Rhinolophus ferrumequinum: one gene and its partner. The protein of the gene in region 1 purifies or fractionates together with the protein of each later gene. This does not show direct contact. Links are inferred from orthologs where the notes say so. Each region holds a gene or a part of one and is shown in the gene's direction. Other genes may lie near its edges.

Evidence for each region. Proteins that work in one complex are often made in the same cells at the same time.
Region 2: the proteins of VASP (region 1) and PFN1 purify together in Homo sapiens (affinity purification with western blotting; 3 studies listed by BioGRID and IntAct, with this or other methods). This does not show direct contact. The link is inferred for Rhinolophus ferrumequinum from reciprocal best matches to the Homo sapiens genes VASP and PFN1.

What each region holds. Positions count from the first base shown.
Region 1 is NC_046298.1:41,838,647-41,849,195, forward strand, and holds the start of VASP (vasodilator-stimulated phosphoprotein), read left to right. Parts: upstream 1-5,634; 5' UTR 5,635-5,974; coding exon 5,975-5,979; intron 5,980-10,549. UniProt on the Homo sapiens protein: Ena/VASP proteins are actin-associated proteins involved in a range of processes dependent on cytoskeleton remodeling and cell polarity such as axon guidance, lamellipodial and filopodial dynamics, platelet activation and cell migration.
Region 2 is NC_046304.1:12,645,816-12,655,419, reverse strand, and holds PFN1 (profilin-1), read left to right. Parts: upstream 1-5,618; 5' UTR 5,619-5,800; coding exon 5,801-5,935; intron 5,936-6,803; exon of another isoform or gene 6,804-7,235; coding exon of another isoform or gene 7,236-7,310; intron 7,311-7,380; coding exon 7,381-7,573; intron 7,574-8,196; coding exon 8,197-8,294; 3' UTR 8,295-8,553; downstream 8,554-9,604. Other genes in the region: ENO3 (beta-enolase), read right to left, coding at 1-24, 892-1,025, 1,412-1,481, 1,651-1,709, 1,879-1,974, 2,240-2,326, 3,545-3,581; E3 ubiquitin-protein ligase RNF167, read right to left, coding at 9,207-9,508, 9,587-9,604. UniProt on the Homo sapiens protein: Binds to actin and affects the structure of the cytoskeleton. At high concentrations, profilin prevents the polymerization of actin, whereas it enhances it at low concentrations. By binding to PIP2, it inhibits the formation of IP3 and DG.

The sequences.
Region 1 (10,549 bases):
CGAGGATGGCGTGTGGGACGCGATGTCTGGAGTGGACCTGGTGGGACTGGTGGCATCACGCCTCTGCTTGGGCCTTGCCCCAGAGCTTCTCTGCGCTCAGCTGTTGGGCACGTTCTGTGCAAGGTCCTGGGGGCAGGGCTTGGGACCACTGAGGGGACGAACTTAAGGGATTTAGGAGAGAGGAATTTTAATGAAAGGCTAGAGTAAAAATAAAGGAGAGGTTGGGGCTCCACGAAAAGGGCGTGGCCTGATGAAATGGGGAGGGGACAAAATATGGAGAGGGTGGAGCCTGATGGAGGCCTTGGGGCAAGATGGCAAAGTGAGGTGTTAGTTAAGTGGGAGGGATTTAAGAGAAAGGGCATGGGTCGGCTCTGGGACACAGGAGTGGGTCCTGAGGTATAATTAGTACCAGAAGCAGGAGCAGCTAAATAGCAGAGTGGGAGGGGCTTTGGAGAAGGGGCGTGATTCTCTGATAGAGCAGGGTGAGAACAGTGAAGGGGCGTCATCTAAGGTATTGGTCCTAGTGAGAGGGATTGGTTTAGACTGGCAGATGGGCAGGACTTGAGAGAAATGGACAAAACCCAATTAGGGAAGGGAGCAAAAGAACACCGGGATTGTTGGGGAGCTCAGCTTCCAAGGGCATGGAGCCTTGTGCTGGGGCATTCAACCAGGCTCTCCTTTCTCCACCTTCTCTAGGGCAGCCTGGACAACATGACCTGCGTCCTGGTCTGCTTCCCGGGGGCCCCAAGGCCTTGTGAGGAGACAATCTGGAAGGAGCAAGCACTGGACGCAGCTCTGGGCTGCAGGGTCGCCCGGTGGGCAAGGTTTAGGAGCTCAGCGGGAAGGGTAGTCGACAAGCAGGGCACCCGAGTAACTCTTGCCTCCTTCTCAGAACTGTGTTCCTCTGCCTAGGAGCCTCCCAGATTGAACCCGGTTTTCGAGACTCTGGCTGGCCTCAGAGGACATCCCGGATTTACCTTCTGGGGGAGGGCTGTACTGCAAGTGAGTCAGGGTAGGATGGGGTAGAATGGGGAGAGGGGTGGCAGGAGGAGGGTCCCCTCCTGAGGGTCTTCCTCTGCTCTCCAGGGCCTCTGTCATCGCTGAAGGTTATTCTCAGCTCTGCCAGGCCTCAGGGGAGCACTGGGAGGTAAGGACCCTGTGTTCTTGAATTTTCTCTTAGAAACATGTAATACAGCACACCTTACCTTCTTTAGTGATGGGGAAATTAAGGCCAGAGGGAACAAGGGACTTGGCTAGTATATTAAAATAAATTCTCACTCCTGGCCTGAAGCACTGTTGGTGGGGAAGGAGAAGCAGACTGTGCTTCCCCTTCAAGAAATGTGCCCCCAGCAATGCTCTGTAAAGCCCCATCATTCCAAGCACCACCCCCTCCATCCAGGAATAAGGCAGAAAAATTCAAGGAATGTTGCTAACCAGTCCCCAGGCCTGGATACACTGCAGACACTAGGTAATCTCTGAGGATGGTCTGGATCTTGGAGAGAGATTGTGAATTGGACCCAGATAGTTTGGGGCATTTGGAGATGTCCAAAGATGTGGTGGGTGAGGTATAAGGAAGGTGTGTAAGGTGGGACTCGGGGGAAATGGGAGGGAGAAAGCTGGGGCCAGAACCCAAAGGCCTTTGCATAGCAGAGAAGAGAGTGGTTATTCGCACTTGAAGGAGGGCTATTGTTGATAGTTCTCAGCAGCAGAAGGAGGTATTTGTGAGGGAAGGAAACCCAGTTCAACCTAGAAAAACAAAACAATTTACTGGGCCATGTTAATTGAAGAGTTCAGGGACTTAAGGCATGACTACATCCAGTTGTCAGATGTAGTTTTATTTCCTCTGAGTTGGCTTCGTTCCCAGGCAGGGTCTCTTCATGAGGTAGCAGCGAGTTGCAGCTCCAGCCTCACATCCTCCAAGCCTAACATCCTCAATGGAGAGAATGTACCAGTTCCCCAGTAGTTGCAGCAGTAGTTTCAGAGCTGGTTCTCCTTGGTAGCACTGGGTCACATGTCTGCTCAAATCACTGTTGTCTCTGATTGGCCAGGCTAGGGTCATATGTCCATTCTTAGTGCTTATGGTTGGGATTCACTGCATCCAAACTTGATGGTTTTAGAGATGGGGAATCGTGGTCCCTCAAAGAAAAATAGGAGTGATGCTTCCAGAATATAGGGGAGTAGATACTGAGAGGAAAAGAAATGCACTGTCTCTTACATTTTCTGTTACAGAAGGGGCAGAACGGGACTGGGAAGGCCACTGGCATCATTCAAGCTCTGCCTTGGACTTGGAGGCCTGACAGCTGTTGTCTTTTGGGGACCCTTTGCCCAGCTGGGGCCCCAACGGAACTAAGAAAACTCCCCTTCCCCAGCTATAGACCAGAGGAAGATGAGCCGATGGAGGGACCCCGGAATGCTTATTTCCCCTTCTCCTACTTCCCTGTCACAGAAAGTCTTAGGAGGAGAAGTTCCTCCCACCATCCGGGGGAGGGGAGAGGAGGAGGAAACCCCAAACCATGGACCCAAGAGAGTTCAACCAATTCAATAACCTTCTCTTTCCATTTTTCATCTGTTTTGGGAGAGGTAGGAGAGAATTTTTATTAAATGTTAATTACGTGACTCAAAATACATTTTTCTTGTAGGAAAAAAACCCCGCAAACATTATTTACCCAGTCATTTGCAAATATGTATTGGGCACTGTTCGTGGCCATCGACCAGGGAGACTCACTGAGATTCGTGCCTATTGTAGGGGCCCACCTAGTATGTGTGTGGGGAAAGAGCAAACAAGAGAACCGATGAATAAGGTCATCTCAGACACTGACAAGTGTCTCAAAGAGAATAAAATGGGATGCGATAAGTAAATCTATTTTGGTTTTTTAAATTGTTATTCATTTATCTTTTGAGTGGTAATAAGTTCAGTTGGTTCAAAATTCAAAGGGTACAAAATGGTGTACAATGAGGTCTTTCTCCATCCCCTGTCCCTCAGCCACTCAATTTTCCACCGGGGGATGGATGCTTTAGACAGGGGCATCAGGGAAGATCTCTGAGGAGGGGACAATTGAGCGGGGACCTGACTCAATTGCTTCCCCGAGAAGCAGCCAGCCATGCAAATAGCCCTGAGAAGAGTGTCTCAAGACAGAAGGAACAGCCAGTGCAATAGCCTAGAAGCAGAATTGAGCTTGGCATTTTCAAGATGAGGCTTAAGAGCTGTATGACCATCGAATTCCCCACAATACCATTCCCTATCCTATTGGTAACCACTACAATGAGTTTGGAGTGGATTTTTCCAGAACTTTTACTCTGCATGTACACCCAAGTTGTTTCCTTGATTGTTTTTTCATACTCTATCATTTGGCAATTCTTAAAAAAAAAAATGTATTGGGGAATATTGCAGAATAGTGTGTTTCTCCAGGGCCCATCAGCTCCAAGTCATTGTCCTTCAATCTAGTTGTGGAGGGCGCAGCTCAGCTCCAAGTCCAGTCGCAGTTTTCAATCTTTAGTTGCAGGGGGTGCAGCCCAGCATCCCATGGGGGAATTGAACCAACAACCTTGTTGTTTAGAGCTCGCGCTCCAACCAACTGAGCCATCCGGCTGCCATTGGCAAATTTTTTTTAAACTTTTGTTTGTTTAAGTGCGTTTTTCCAGGACCCACGAGTTCCAAGTCAAGTAGTTGTTTCAATCTAGTTGTGGAGGGCACAGCTCACAGTGGCCCATGTGGGGATCCAACCGGCAACCTTGTTAAAAGCACCGCGCTCTAACCAACTGAGCTAACCGGCCGCCCTCATTTGGCAATTTTTTTCACTCAGTAATATGTTGGGGACTTCTTTCATGCCACTTACACACCTCATTCTTTTTAGCTGCTGCCCCGTGCTTCAGACAAGAAGATGTGCAATGGTTTTGCTATCCATCCTCTTCTTGATGGACAGGCTATTTTCAGTTTCTTGCCCTCACATAATTGCTGACATAGAGATCCTCGGACAGGCTCCTTGTGTATATATGCAAGGGTTTCTCTAATGCAGGGATCTTGCTGTTCTGCATAGCACTTGAGCTAAGAATGGTTTTTACATTTTGTAGGAGTTGTAAAAAAAAGAATGTGTAAAAGAGACCCTATACCTAATATGCCTAAGATATTTCCTATTTGGACCTTTGTAGAAAAAGTTTGCTGACTGCAGTGCAGGTGGCACACAGAGACACCACATCTCCCATTTCCCAGATGGGAAAGCTGAGACCCAGAGAGAAGAAAGGATTTGCCCAAGGTCACACAGAAACTGGGGTTCTCATTCAGTTGCATAAATGTGTATTGCACTGTTGTTCTGGGCCTGGCTGGCTTAGTGAAACACAGAAATCGATGAAGTCTACCTGTGCCCCCAAAGAACTCACAGCCTGAGAAGACACACAGAGAAACAATTATAACCCAGGTGGATCAGGGTTCAAGGTCACCCAGGGTGGGGTAGAGTAGGGGAAAGGATTACTCAATTCTGCAGAGAAGAATTAATGTTAGAACATGTCCTAGAAGTATGAGATGAGGTCAGGACAGCATCCAGGCAGAGGATTCTTCTTGGACAAAGGCTGGGAAGGTTGACTCCCTCACCTAGTCAACTGGGCCTTAAGAATTGTTGGTTTTACCCTCATACCTTGCACCCAAGTACCACTGGAGTTCTGGGGTTCAGGCAAGAGGGCTTATAGCCGAGATATAGTCCCTGTCTCCAGGCCTCAGTTTACACATTTGGAAACGTCAAACATGATTTCCCAGGCTCCGGCCCCTGGCTAGGGGGCACCTTACCTAGGACAGGTGGCGCTCTATGGGAGAGGGGAGAGGCGGGAATCACAGAAGTGACGTCACGTGGGGCGGAGCCTGCGGTAACCACTGCGGAAGCCTTGGAGGGTGTGCGGTCTCAGCTTGAAGCTGGCCTGTGGGGGAAGGGGCTCGCGGGAGCCACCACTAGGGAGGATCTCCCTGCTTCGGTGCCCTCCAGTTGTGGGATGATCCCGCCATCCTCCGCGGGCGAAACTGAGTCACAGCGGGGCGTGCGTGGGGAAGGGGCCAAGGGTTTTATCCCGGAGTCCAACCCCCACCCCCCTGCGGCTCTGAGTCAGCGGCCGGCCGCGCCCCCTCGGCCCACTTCCTCCTCACCTTCCCCGGCTGGGCGGGGGGCAGTGAAGGGGGTGGGGCCCTCACCACCCATCCCCCTCCCGTGGAGGGGGAGACGGTTCACTCTTAGTAACCTTTTATAAATTGGCCAAGAGAGACATTGGGGGAGTCCGAAGAGAGGATATAAGGGAGGAAATTTGAAAGAACCTATGCTAAACCAGAGGGTCCTCCTCGCCCCCCAACCCCCTAATTGAGCAGAATGTAAAGAAATGGAGAGGTCGATAGGGAAGGTGAAAAGAAACTGCCCCCATTGAGATCCCCCTGAGAACTCCCATCGTGGGAGAGAACTAGGGATCAAGGAAGGATCCCTTCCCGTCCACCAAGCTTGCTCCCTAATTTGGGGGTGACCCCAGCTTGCATCCCTGCAATAACGATGAGGGAGAGGGAAATAGCGGGTCTAGGGTTCCGCGTTGCCCTTTTAAGCGCCCTCCACCCCTCCTTTCCACCTTGAGTTGTACGCGGCCCCTTTAAGGCGCAGGGCATTGTGGGTGTGGGGAGTGGAATTTTGGAACGAAATGTAGCGAAGAGAAGTACAGTAGTAAGAGTAACATTGTAGCTGCCGCTGGCCGAGGGGGCGCGCCGGGGAGGGGACGCCGCACGCCCTTTCCGCCGCAGGGACCCCCGATCAAACCCCCACAGGGAGGAGGCGCCCGAAGACCCGCCCGGGCCGCGTCCACGTTCCCCTCAGGAAGCCGGACTCTATGGGGCGGGACCCTGGGGGAGACTGAGCAGAACCTGGATCCAACCCCGGACCTCTGAACCTCGAGCCAGGGGCTCCCCGGCAGCACCCACCCTGTGGGTGCGCTGCCTGCCTGCCGAGCAGCCATGAGGTGAGCCCCCAACTTCCTACAGACCCTTCTCCACCCGGGGCGGGCTCCCCGCCCCGCCTTTGTCCCCCCTCCCCCCAGCTCGCTCCTGGCTGAAATTTGGGGACCGGCCACTCGGAGCCTCGGCTTTGAGGCCGAACCTGCTTGGATGAGCTCCAAATATTGACCATTTTCCCATGACTCCCAAGGCTCGAGGTGGTACCGGTGAAGCTCTCCAGGGAGCCCTCAGATTTGGGGCGCTCGGAGGACTCCCAAATTTCTTAAAAGACTTCTTCAAAAGACCTCCAAGTTGGCAGATACTCCCTGTAAGGAGGTCAGGATTTAGTCAGGGCTCAGACTCCCCCCAAATCTAAACTCGGACTCAGAGAGGGATTGTGGGGGGCCAGTCAGAGGGTCCCTGGCACCTGAGAGATTGAGACGTAGACATTGGTTTGCAGGGTTCCTCTTTACGTGACGCTGGAAAGTCGTACCATGTGGGACCTCGCTCCTTAACTTCGAGGGTACTTAACCCCCTAAATTTGGAGGGGCTCTTATCCAATGGAAGAGGTGGTTGCGGACGGAGACAGACGTAGCCTACAGGGTCTGGTTGGGACACCCCTCCCCCGCCGCTCCGCACTCCCAATCTGTTTAAAACAGGCCGTGCCTAGGACCGAGGGAGTGCTCTATGCGGAGGGCGGCTCCCCGGCTCTGGGCCAGAGAAGGGCGGCCCCTCTACCCCACCTGCGCGGCCCTGGGAGGGAGGGGGTGCGGCAGCTGTGGAAAGGGGGGCCTTTGTCTTACTGACTCACCTGTCGAGACAGCTGGTGTGTGGGGGGCGGGCCAGGAGCGCTGTGGGCTGGCTGCTTTCCCCACCACGGCGCCTCTCCCTTCTCGCTACCCCAACTCTCCAGCCATCGGAGCTCTGGGGTTGGAGGAGGGGGCGCTGGAAAGCTTCAAGGTCATAGTCCTCTCTTCCCAGGACCCAGGCTTCCCAGATAGTTTCAGCTATCTTCCCAGGAATTTAATCCTGGCGGGGGGGGGACCCAAGGTACCTAAGGATTTTGTCTTACCCAGGCCTGCCTCAAAACTCCTGGGCGCACCTGAGGGCGGGGCCAGTGCGGGCTGGGAAACTCGACTGGATCCCCCCATTCTCTCCTCCCCTTGACCCCCCATAATCTCTCCCTTGGGGCCAGAGCCTGACAATACTATCTCCCTTCCTTTACTCTCTCAGGGACTTCCTGCCCCAAAGCCCCCAGCTTGTGGAGGCGGCCTCTGGGGACGGCTGGGGATTAACCCCCTGGTGCCTACATCCTCCCACTTCCCCCACGTTCCCCATACCTCTGCCCTCTGACATCAGGGTGGCATTCCTTTTTATGACCATTAGAGAATCCCCCTCCCGTATTTGTTTCTTCTGATGCGAAGGAATGGTTGGAAAATTTAGAGCAAGGGGGCACCTAGAGACACCCTCAAGACTTCCTGCCTACCCTTTCTCCCATTATAGCAACATTCCCTTCAAGGTCTGTCTGGACAGGGGGCAGTTTTCAGGAGCCAGGCTCTCTTCACCCTCTTCCCGGAGGTGGGGGGGGACTCTCTTCTCCCACAACCCACAGCCCCCAGCCTCGCCCCTCGCCCCCACCCCCCCGCGTTTCCGGTCCCAGGGACGGTGGAAGGCGGATGGCGGATGTCCGAGTTAGTGCTGCCTCACTCACTGAGACCGTAAAAGGGCAGGAGCAGTGTCTGGGCCGGCCTCCCGCCCCCCCCTTAGCCCAGTCCCGGAGGCCCCGGCCCTCCCACAGGCCCCCTACTAAAGGCCGTGGCCAAACCTCCCACTTCCTGGGGGGTGGGCAGAAGTTGCACTGTTCCCTGTCCCACAAGAGGGTTACTCCCACCTTCTGAGGGGTCTTCCCTGCCAGTGGTCACAGCCGACTTCCTGGGCTTGTGCCCCTTCTCCAAAGACAGCTAGGATTCAAATTGACGCAAGCCCCTGTATGCAGCTAGGGAAACTGAGGCTCAAAGAGAAAGAATTGGCACAAGATCCCTCAGAAATTCCTAGGCAATATTGAGGGAGGGGAGGGGACTGGGATTCTCTGATTTCTGGCTGGTTTAGCTGAGGACAGCCTTGGGGGCAGTTGGAAGAGAACACGTTAAGATGGAAAATTACAAGATAATAGTTCTTTTTCTCCTAGTTTGACAAATATTTGTTGAGTGTCTGCTGTGTCCGGGACTCTGAGCTGGGATTCTGGGAAGGCCGGGAAGCTGGGCAGAGGTCTGAGAATCTCAGGGCAGAAGGGATTCTGAAGAATTTGGGTCCGTTTCTTTCTTCTTCCAGTAATAGTAATTATTATTTTTACTTTAAAAATAATAAGAGACAATTTAATCAGGCATCTACTTTGTGCCAGGCGTTGTAGTAGGTGCCTGATTCAGTTTAATCCTCACAGCAATTCAGCAGTTCTAAGAGATTGACTATTATGATGGCGCCCCACCGCCTGCCAGTTTACAGATGGAAAAACCAAGGCACAGACAAATTAAGCAAATTGCCTATTAAAGCCGAAAGAGTTTGGAAGTGGGCAAGGCTGAATTCGAATCTAGGACTGTCTCCAGACTATTATGCTGTTAAAGAAAAATAAAAATAAAACCTTTAATGAGCTTTACAAGTAAAATACATGCTTTCATTGTACGAATAGTTAAGATAATGGAGATACACAAAAACCCAGGTGGAAACCTTTACCTTCCTGTTTACTTTTGGGAAACTGAGTTTGGTCAGGGAGGAGGGACTAGAGTGAGCCAAACAAGCCCCACAGACCCTAGATCTGGTTTCCTATGCAGGGTTGTTGCAAAGATTTATAGTTTGGAAACGTTGCGTGGGGGTGAGTGTGGGTCACAAGTTTTATGATTTAAGGAAGCTCTAGGTTAAGTCTTGGGGTAGGAGTGAGGGGTGAAGGGAAGGGCAAGCCTCTAATCTGAAAGGTTTGAACCGGAGTGACTATGCTTGATTGCCTCCAGTGATGGAAAGCTTTCTCCCTCCTGTTTTGACTCACAGCTTCCTTGTATGGACCCTGTGCTAAATTCCAAGTCCTGAGCTTTAGGGCTTTTCTTATCTCTTTGAATCCTTACAACAAACCCAGTGAGTTATGGTTTCCAGGGCTGGAAACCATAGAGGTAAAGCCACACAGCAAGGGAGTGACTTGAATGCTCTCTCATCCACCTCATGGTAGAGTTTTCCAGAATATGGGGACTTGTGGGGAGGGATGGGTGCTAGGCTGGCTGGGGATTAAGGTTCTCTCATGTCAAATCAAGTGTGTGAGACCCCAGGACACCCCTGGAATCAAGCAGACCCTGTTTGAACCTTAGTCCCCAGGTTCCTGGCTGTGGGATTTTCCGTTGCAGCTTTTGCCTGGTTTATAGTTTTGTTTTTTGAACTTAAGTGATGAATGAGTTTTTTATAGGTAATACCAGCCCATGCTGAAAAAAAAAGAAAGAATCAAGCAGTTCTAAAGAGTAAACCGTGAGATGTGTCCATTTCCTCCTTCCTCGGGTCCCCAGTACCCCCTCACCAGCCACGGTTAGTCTTCTGAGAAGCAGCCTCTGCATATATCACCACTGCCGTGCGGATGTAGTTATATCCTCCCCACCTTTTTTTTAAAACCTCTGATACCATTTTAGGCCTTGGCTTTTCAAATTTCAGCTTAGCTGTTCCCTCATCTTTAAATGAGGTTAAGAACTTGGGCGGACTTGGGTTCAAATGGGAGCCCCTCTGCTTACTTGCTGTGTGACCTGGGACAAGTGTCTTCATCTCTCTTGACATCATTGCAAGGTTCTCTGTGGAAACGGGAGCTGAGTACCTAGAACAGTGTCTGGGATGCACACCAATCCGTTACTATCAGCTGAGTTTTCCTTTTTTTTAAACATGGCTGATTTAACAACTGTTGAATACCTGCTGTGGGCTGGGTAGAATTCTGGGTTCTGAGGAAACAGCAGTGAACAATAAGGACAAAAATCCCTGCCCTCATGGTCCTGATATTTTGGTAGGGGAGACAGGAATCGGTCAGGCAGGGACAGCTGCTATGACATGTGGGACATTCGAAGAGAGGGAGAGGAACTTTACAGATGGGTCTCCGCTTAGACGGCACCTCTTCCCCTGACCACCCTGAGGAAGGTGAGGCTCCAGGCCAAGGAAGGACAAGTGCATAGGCCCCAGGCAGGAATGGCCTGGCTTGTGGAAGGAGCAGCGTGGAGGCCGGAGGGGCTGGAACAGCGAACTGCGGGGAGGGAAGGAATGAGATCGAGATCACACAGCAGAAAGCCACAGATCGAGGGGAGCCAGGGGAGCTTCCGAGAAGAGGAGGGACTTGATCTGACTGGTGTTTTCACAGGGTCCTCTTGCTGTCATGGGGACGGACACTACGGCCTGGGGAGGGGTAGGACCAGCCTGGGGTCACTAAGCAGGCACCTTCAGGCCAGACCAGGGCCTCAGCAGGCCAGAGCTCTCTGCTTGGGAGAGCAAAGTGCAGCCAGGGTGGGGTAGCAAAGACAACCCGGGCACCTGGCCAGAGTGTGCCCTGGGTGTGGGTGGCAGGTGTGGGCGAGGCCTTAA
Region 2 (9,604 bases), on another chromosome or scaffold:
GCCCCCATTGATCACATTGAAGGCCTGAGAGGCGGAAAGGGTGTTCACACCTGGGACGGGGTCCAGGGGTCCAGGTGGAATCCTGGCGTCCCTACTTACTAGCTGACTGATCTAGGATCAGTAATTTTACTCCTCAGAGGCTCTTTCCTCATTTCCATAATGGGGATACCACCTGCTTCCCCTGCAGGATCTTTTGCCGAATATTAGAGAAATTGAATGTAAAGTTCTTAGCATGTGCCTGGTGAAAAATAGCTAACACTGATATGGCACTACAGGCCAGGCACTATTCTAAGTGTTTTACATCTATTAGCTCATTTCATTCTCAAAACAACCTTATAAACTAAGTACTATTATCTTCCACTCTACAGATGAGGAACCTGAGGAATGGAGAGGTTAAATAACTTGCCAAAGATCACACAGCTAGCAAATGGGAAAAACCAGGATCCAAACCCAGCAGATAGTCTCCAGAGCTCAGGCTCTTACACAATCTGCCTTGTAAGTAACAATAAATGGTAACATTATTATTGAGATTAAATTCAAACGGTTTCCATAAAGAGGGAATGTGGTTTAATAAGGATTAGATAAGAAGAAATGCCAAAATCCTTGCCATGAAGAAACTCGATCTGATTTGGAGGTTGGGCTAAAGGGCAGAATGAGAAGCTAGAGTTATTGAGCCTAGGGTTGGAATGTGAAGGAACCGGGTTATGTCAAGGGAAAGAAGCAGAGAGGCTTAAGGAAAGGTTTGGATTGTGGGAAAGAGGGAGGGGCGGAACCGCAGCAGGAGAGGTTCCATTTCAGAAAACCGTTCCTTTGGAGCTGGCTCTGGAAGGTACTTCTTGATGGCAGGGGTAATTCTGTCACTGTGGGATCTGGCAGGGCACTTGCACTCACAGGGACTGGGAGGACCAGGTCCGGGTTCCCAGCAAGATCTGCAATGTGTCGGTAGAGCGGGACCCCCTTCTCTGCTGCTCCAGCCTTGCACACAGCCAGGGAAACGCCCAGGATGGCATTGGCCCCAAACTTGGCTGAAGGAGGCAAGCACAAGAAAGGGTGAGAGCTTCTCCCCCAGGGTTTGGGGTCATCTTCTAGAACATCCCCTCTGGTCACCCCAAGAAGAATCCAGAACTCCAAACCACTGGTCATTAAAGTTTAACAGCTCTCTCCCCGGCAGCCTGAGGTGCCTCCACCCCAGGGGAATGTGTCAGCTTCATATGTGTGTCCACAGCCTGGCCCAAGCCTGGCAGAGGGCAGGCATCAGGAAATGCCTGTGGAATGAATAAAAGTCCATCTCGCTATTGTGTGCCCCAAACTGTGGAACACAGAAATAATTCTAACCAGATCTCAGCCTCGTGGTCGCTCCCCCAATCCTTCCACATCCCATCTCTTCCCCTACCTCTAGCCCTTCACTCACATTTATTCTCGGTCCCATCCAGCTCAATCATAAATTTGTCAACTTTTTCTTGATCCACAACGCTTAATTTCTGGAAGGGCAGGTTTGAGGAGGGAGAGCAAAGGTCAGATTTGTCAAGAGTCAGGGCATGTACAGGAGAAAGAAGTACAGGTATTTTGGGGAGAATGACAGTTGCCATATGGGGTGAGGCGACAGGGGTCTGAGGAGGGGATTAAGGGGAGCAGGCTCCTCCCACTTGCCTTTTCCAGCAGAGCAGGGCCTAGAGTCTTATTGATGTGTTCCACAGCCTTCAGGACCCCTAGAGAGATGGGAGGAGGTTCAGATCTCCTATTCAATCAGGTCTCTTCCTGCAGATCCCAGCTCCTCAAAACAGCTTTGGGTTCTAGTCCTCTACTCCACACAGATGTTGTGTGCCCATGTCCTGAAACCACTTCCACAAGGCTCCTCCAGTATTGATCTTTCCTCACCTTTGCCCAGGTAGCGAGATTTGTCTCCATCTCTTAGTTCCAGAGCTTCATAGATACCTGTGGAAGCTCCGCTGGGCACAGCTGCTCGGAATCGGCCTGGGGAAGGATCAATTGGAAGATCACAGAAAGTCCCATCCACCCCCAAAGGGCCAAGGTGTCCTCTCTGAGACCAGGGGCAAAAGGCAGGGCAGATAGACTCCTACTTCTCCCCGCAGGAGAACCAGGTTGGAAGAGGAAGGCCTGGGAAGAACTCTGGGGAAGGGAATCTCAGAGGAAGGTGAGGATATGGAACAGCTGGAGGGCAAAGGCCAGATGGTGTTGGGGTCTTCCAAGGCAAACCAATTTAATGGGCCTGTGTTACCCTTTGCTGTGTACAAGTCCACCTCCACGGTGGGGTTGCCCCTGGAGTCCAGGATTTCCCGGGCAAAGATTTTCTGCATGGCCATGGCTGCAGGACAAGAGGCTTGAGTGAGTGTGGACCGTTGATCCCTTAAGGAACCCGAAATCCCTTGCCCTTTAAGAGCCTTCCCCACCCCAAGAAGGCAGGTGCTGGAGCTAAAAATACCCACAAAAAGGTCACAGATCATAGAGGCTGGCGCAGCCCCTCCTCCACTCAGAAAGCTCTTATTCCACCCCCTACCCCCATCCTAAGAATCCAGGAGTCTCTCCTTTATAACTCCTGGAATTCCACCACCTCCTGAACCCCATCTCCTGCAAAGTTGCATTTATGCCTTCTCCCTCCACCCTTCTAATCAAGCATTCTGTTCTCCGTGGCTTTCTAGCTCTAAAATCCTCTCTCGTTATTCTGTTTCTCATTTTCCTGCTCCTCAGTCTTCTTCAGATACTGGGGCAGGGGGGGTGTGCAAATTCTCCAACTGGCCCCAGCTCTAGCTACCATCTCAATCCATCTCTGCCTGCCTTTCTTCGCATCCTCATTTCCCTATCCTTGGACACCCCCATCCTGTTTGCTCCAAATCAGCGTCTTTCTTAAGCACCCCCAATCCCAGGAGGGGAAAAAAAGCCGACATTTCCCCGTCTTCTCCAAGCCAGCACCACCCTCACTCCCATGCCCTGGGGCTGGAAGATTCACCAGACCTGGGATGTTTTCGCTGGGGGCTTGAGGTGAGCTCCGAGTCTAGGTGGCAGCTGGGACAGTGTCACCTCACCCCCTCTCAGGTTGGGCATTTATCCCCAGCCACGCTGTCCCCCAGCCAGCCCCGCCTCTCTCCCTCTCCATCCTCCCCCTCGACAAGCGGCTGGTAGCCAAGTGCCCACTACAGCCTAAAGCCCCCTTCCCGAAGGTTAACGACTACCCGTCCTTTCTCTCTGTTCCCAATAAAAGTCCCTACTTTTAATTCCACCCCTGGGAAGGAGCAGGGGAGGGGCTTCAAAAGGAGGGGTCTCTCCCCTCCCCAAGATTATATTCCCCTTTTGTAAAGGTTAAAGAGGAACTAGTGCCATTTAGGAAAGGCCAGGGGTAACCTGAGCCCTGCAGGGCTGGGGAGGGGGCCTGGAAGAGGGGCTGCAGGATTGACATCCACACATGCTCAGCTCACTTGGCGGGCAGGGGCTGCCTCTGCCTTCAGTGGGGGAAGGAGCCGGGGTTTATGGGCAAGCTCTGAAGTCTAAAATTGAACCCCCCATTAAAAAGGTGAGAGGGTCTCACCTCTCAGGGTCCTCATAGCGGCCTCTCCCTGCTCCATCCCATCCTACCCAATCTGGGCCAGCAAAGGGGTGGAGGAGGGGGCAGGGAGACGAATTTAGACTGGCGCGGCTCCCTACAGATAGCGCTGGGACAGCACTTATCGCTCAGCGTGTAGACTGCCAGTCAGGAGCCCCTATCCCCACTGACTGCCGGTGCTTCAGGGCGCGGTCCCAGATCACCACCGAATGACGTTGAATCAGCAGCGAACAAAATGAATGGACGAGAGGAGGGGGTGGCCTTGAGTATCTGAACGCCCGGAGCTAGCCCGGCAGTCCGCTAGTAGCATTGCAGGGAAGTGGGTCTCTGAATTCAGTAACTCTCTCCGTGTTGGCAGGTCTGAGGGGAGTGTGGGGTCTGTCCTGAGTTCTGGCTGCAGCCCGGCCAGAAAAGGGAGGCACGCCAAGGCTCGGACCGTTGGGCGGGCAGGCAAGGTTCCGGGGGCGCCTCGGCTCCTCGCCCCCGACTCGGAGGCTCCTCCCGCCGGCGCCAGAGCAGCCTGCGCCGGGTGACTCACCCCCACGGACCTCAACCCAGCTCCCTTCTCCGCCCCGCCTATACTGCCTTACTGCCCCCAGCCCAGAATCCCTCCCCCTATGTCGCCCCTACCCCCTTATCTCGGGCCGCTCCCTCCAGGGATTTTTCCACCCGGGGGTAGGGGGTGCGGCAGGCCAGAGGTCAGGAGGGCGGGCGGGGCGCCGCCACGTGCCCGTATGAGGCCCCGCCCGAGCGGACCAGTGACTCAGCCCCGGCGGCTGTCGAGGAACAAGGGTTTGGGGGGCGTCGGGTGTCCCTGGGGTGCGGAGTATCCGCGAGGGAACCGCGTCCCGCTCGGGAGGATGAGAGAGATAGAAGCCCCTTCCCACCCGGGAGGCGACCCTCCCGGGAGGGACCGGAAGCGGCCCAGCCCCTAGGTGGCCCAGGCAGTCTGAGCGCGGCCAGTTCACCTAAGCCGTCGCCAGGTCTTGCCCCACCTCCCCTCCCAGTTGGTGGGAGACCTAATCGCACTCAAGTTCTTGGCGTTAAGTTTTAATGAAAAAGAAAAAAAATCCAACGGGCCCAAAGTGGAAAGGACTTTCCCCTTCTTGAAAAAGTTGCAAATCTTTAAACTTCTTAGTATTCTTCCGCCGGGAAAAATAGGCCCGCCCGTCTAGCCCCGCGGGTGCCCGCCTCTGCAGAGAGGCGCCAAAGGGCACGACCGGTGACCCAAACTACTAGCCCGGGAACAGGCGGGTCTTGGACCTAGGGGCGAGGCCTGGGGCTGGAGCTGATCCAGCTAGGATAACCCCCTCGAGTGGGGGTGGACTCCACTGAGTCCAATTTGTGCCACCAGGCAGATGCTGGGGACAGAAGTGTCCCCAGTGGATGCCTTCAATTCTGAAACCGGTCGGGATATTTTGTCAAATTCCCCTTTGCTCCCTTGACTAAATAAAATCAAGAGTGGAGAAGCCGCAACGCGCACGCCTCGCTCTCGCCCCCGCCTCTTCCGCCCGGCGCGAGACACGTCCCCGGCCGCCTTCCTTCCCAGGGGTTCCAAATGGGTCCAGCCAGGCGCGCCCCGGCGCGCGCCCGCGAAGCCGGCCGCCGGCCCCAACCGCCCCACGCGCTTTCCCTCCGGGCCCCGGCGCAGGCGCGGGCGCACGCGCCGCCGCCCGCCGTTCCTTCCCTCCGGCGGAGGTGGGGGAAGGGGGAGTCATTCTGTTTAACCCCGAGTTCCCCAAACCCTCTTTAATTTGCTAAATTTGCAGCTTGCTAATTCTTCCTCGTTCCACTTTCTTTTTTCCCTCCATCTTACTCCCTTCCCCTATACCAAAATGTGGTTTATATTCCGTGCGAAGTGGAGCAAACCCTAACCCTAACCTCTCTCCCTGACCCCCCTTCATTCTTTTACATTGCTTTCCATTGAACTCTGCAAATTTTGCAACAGGGGGAGGGATTTTTAAAATTGTATTTGCAAAGTTAGGTATCTGGGCTGGAGGGGGGATAGGGAGGGAATGGGGAGCAGGCCCCGCCCCTACCGCTCTTTGCATAAAAATCTAGAAGGGGGGGAGGAGCAGGAAGTGGCGGTGCGAGGACTGCTGCACAGCTAGCAGAGCCACGGTCCGGACGGCAGCGCGTGCCCCAAGCTCTCCGCCTCCCCCCGTCCGCCAGCCCGAGGCAGCCCGAGCCCAGCCCGCGGCCCCAGCACCAGCGCTTAAGAGCAGCCCCAGTAGCAGCGCCATGGCCGCCGGGTGGACCGCCTACATCGACAGCCTCATGGCGGACGGGACCTGTCAGGACGCGGCCATCGTGGGCTATAAGGACTCGCCCTCCGTCTGGGCCGCCGTCCCCGGGAAAACCTTAGGCAACATCACGGTACTGCGAGGCCTGCGCGGTCCGGGGAACTGGCTGGGTTTGGACCCTGAGGGAGGGACTTGGGTGGGGGCGGGCGCGGTTTGGGGCGTGCAGCGAAAGGCCGTGCTTGACCCCTTCTTGCCCTGGAAGCGGCGCGAATGGCGGCTGCACGTGAGCAGGCTCCTCGGTTGCCCCTAAGTTCTATGCCCCAGGCGGCGGCTCCCATCCCGCCCGCTGCCCCGCTTTCCACGACGGGGCGTTACATCCGGGGCACAGGGTGGGGAGGGGCGCGCCGCCCGGTGCGGCGGCCCACTTCCGCCTTGTCCAGGGCGGGGCGGACACGCGCTGCAATTTCAATCAGGGTTTGTGATTGAGAAGGGAGTTGGGGACCCCTGGACCCCCAGCTCCACTTACTGCCGGCAGTTCGTGCCCCCTTCACCATTGTTCCCCCTTATATGTGAGGGAGTCCCAGTCGCGTGGCCTGGGTCCCATGCCGGTCCTCTGTGGCCTCCCTGCCCCTCCCAACTCCGTTAGAGAGGGAGAGGCCGCCTCACGCCCCCCCCAAGTCGGCACCGTAGACTCAACATTCCTGTGAGACCAATCCCGGAAGTGCCCTCGCCCTCCCTTCCCGCCATCCTGCGGGGCCTGGAGCAAGGGAACTTTGTAAGAAGTTATAGGACAGTGTAAGTGCAGGAATAAGGAATGACTGCTGCTGTCCCCATCACCACCACCCCTGTCCGCACTGCCCGGAAGTGGGGAGGGGGAACGGAAGTTTGAAAGGGGGGGAAGGGGATTTCCGGGCGGGAGGGGACCGGATGTGGGGATTTGGGGTGTACGGGGGAGGAGGAGAAAGCTTCCCTGGGGTATCTAGACCCGAGAGTTGGCTTGCGGGGTCTAGCTCCAGGCCCCCTTCAAAAGTTTTTCAACTTGACCAGAAAGCCCCCAGGGATCTGCTTCCTCTTCTTGGAACATAGATACCTAGACCTAACTCTGAGTTACTTGGAGACCCAGGCGTCCGGGCCCCTAACAACAACTTCAGAACCTTTGACCAAATAAGGGCAAAGTTGCTTCTCCTGCTTTGCCCGCCCCCTCCCTTCCCCTCTTCGCTTCTGCTTTTCCTGAAGGAGACTTTTGAGCATCCAAAGGCTCCCCACTCCATTCCACTCCACTCTCTTCACTAACTTTTGACCCCCTTTATTTCCTGGCTTTGCTTTCCCTCTCAAACGAGATCTAAGTTTCCAGAGCCATTCTGTAGGTTTGAGGATCGTGATCTTTTCTGCACTAACTTCCAACAGTCCTAAGAAGAGCTCATATTTCATGGATGTGTACAAAGCACGTAACATACACATTTTTCCTCTTCAGGGCGGTTCTAGCTCCCCTGAGAAGTGGAATGCAGGTGGGTCCTTGGAGAAGGTGGGAACCTTGGTGTACTGACTAACTTGATGAGTGCTTGGTTCCCCTTCCAGCCAGCTGAGGTTGGTGTCCTGGTTGGCAAAGACCGGGCAAGCTTTTTCGTGAATGGGCTGACACTTGGGGGCCAGAAATGTTCTGTGATCCGGGACTCGCTGCTGCAAGATGGGGAATTTACCATGGATCTTCGTACCAAGAGCACCGGCGGATCCCCCACCTTCAACGTCACTGTCACCATGACTGCCAAGAGTGAGTTTGTGTGTCTTTCCCTTCCTCTAGCTCCAAAATCCCTACTGTACCTCCATCTGTAAGACTTTTGGGTTTTTTCTCTGGTTCCCCAGTACGAAGGGATCATACCAGCTTTCTACTCCCAGCCTGCTGGATGCTGGGATTCTGGATAGTCCCTCCAGTTAGTTCTCAGTTCCTTATCTTGTAATATAAACTGTATTACCTTTTAAGTTCCTTTGTGCCTTGACACTTTTCAGATGAGAAACTTTTGTCGATTGTTGGTTGTCAGCACTTACCTTTCATCTTTGGAGTCCTTGTTAAAACGTGGAGCTGGCCATCTCATCCATAGCCATTAATACTTGGAGGTGGCAGTCTCATTCCTAACCATTCTAGCCTGAATATGAGTCAACCGTCTGAGCCTTTGACCCCTAAATTTTAGTGTGTTCGCTTCACTTGCCTTTAGCTTTGATTTTCCCCTTTTGAAAAGCCCTATTGTTTCAGGGTGACTGACAGCCTGCCTGTGTGTGGGGGTTGGGAGCCAGTGAGGTTGGGTTACAGCCCCTGGGGCTGGACAGCTGCTGAACAGCTGGCAGGGGGTGAAATTGTGACACCTGGGTCCTAGCCTCCTTTCTCTTTTCCTCCAGCGCTAGTCCTGCTGATGGGCAAAGAAGGTGTCCACGGTGGTACAGTCAACAAGAAATGTTATGAAATTGCCTCCCACCTGCGGCGTTCCCAGTACTGACCTCATCTTTCCTTCCCCACCCCACTCCCCACTGCTTTTGCACCCTTCTCCTTCCCATACACACACATACACCATTTTTATTTTTTTGGGCCATTACCCCACACCCCTTATTGCTGCCAAAACCACATGGGCTGGGGGCCAGGGCTGGATGGATAAACACCTCCCCCTACCCATACCCCTCCTGTGTGTGGTTGGAAAACTTTTTTTTTTTTTTGGTTTTGTTTTGTTTTTTTCTGAATAAAAAAGATTCTACTAACAAGGTGCTGTGTGGTTTTAGCCTGGGTGTAAGGGTGGAGGAGTCACTGGGACTTGGCTCCTTTATCCTGGCTTGGGTTTAGGAACGGCAGGGGTTGAAGTGCTACCAAGCCTAGGGATTTGAGCTTGCCTCCATGTCTAGGACTAAGTACCTGCTTCAGGCCTATGTGGCCCAGTTGCCCAGCCTTCCTCAGTGGCATTTCCAGCCCTAGGTCCTCAGTGTGTTATGTGAATTGGTGGATAATGGAATAGAGCCATCCAGACCAGACTGGGTCCAGGCCTCTGGGCAAGGTAGGGCCAGTTGAGTCATCCTGTGGGTGGAGTCACAACTAATGCCTGCTAGGGCTGTCCCCAAGACTATAGGTTAGTCTCCAGCACTCCCCTGCCCCTTTATGGCAAAACGGGGACAATTCCCCAAATAATTAAGATCATCATCACCTATGAGAGAATGAGCTCTACCTTCCTTAGTCCACAAAAAATTTTATTAACCCGGTAAGTGAAGACCCAGTCCCTTTGCACCAACCCCTTCAAAAGGATGGGGTTGGGTAAGGGAGAATCCCAGGGTGAGAATGCCCCCTATCCCTCAACACAGAAGACTAGAGGGAGAAAAAGGAGCTGTGCAAAATAGGTCACCAGAGGTGGGGGGTGATAGGAGTATTAGACCAGGATGGCATCTGAGGAGGAAGGAGAGGGTGGGGGATCTGTTGAAGACTCAGGAAAAAGAAGGGGGGCTGGGGCTAGGGAGCCAAAAGAGGTGGGAATTGTGGGGCTGGACCCCAGAAGTGGGGTCCGCTCTGAAGCAGGATGGTCCCTTGCTTGCCCTTCCTCATCACCATCTTGCCCCTGAGCTTCTTCCTCCTGGTCCTCATCCCCAGGACCTCGATGGACAGGTTGCTTGCAGATAGGGCAGGTCTTCCGGGTCTGAGTGAGCCAGGGATCCACACAGCGGCTGTGGTAGGCTGTCAAAAAGAATAAGGTGAGGCATCTGGTGCCTGCTGGTGGAGTGGGGACATGGGCACAGGAAGCAAGGGCCTCACCATGAGCACAGGGGAGTA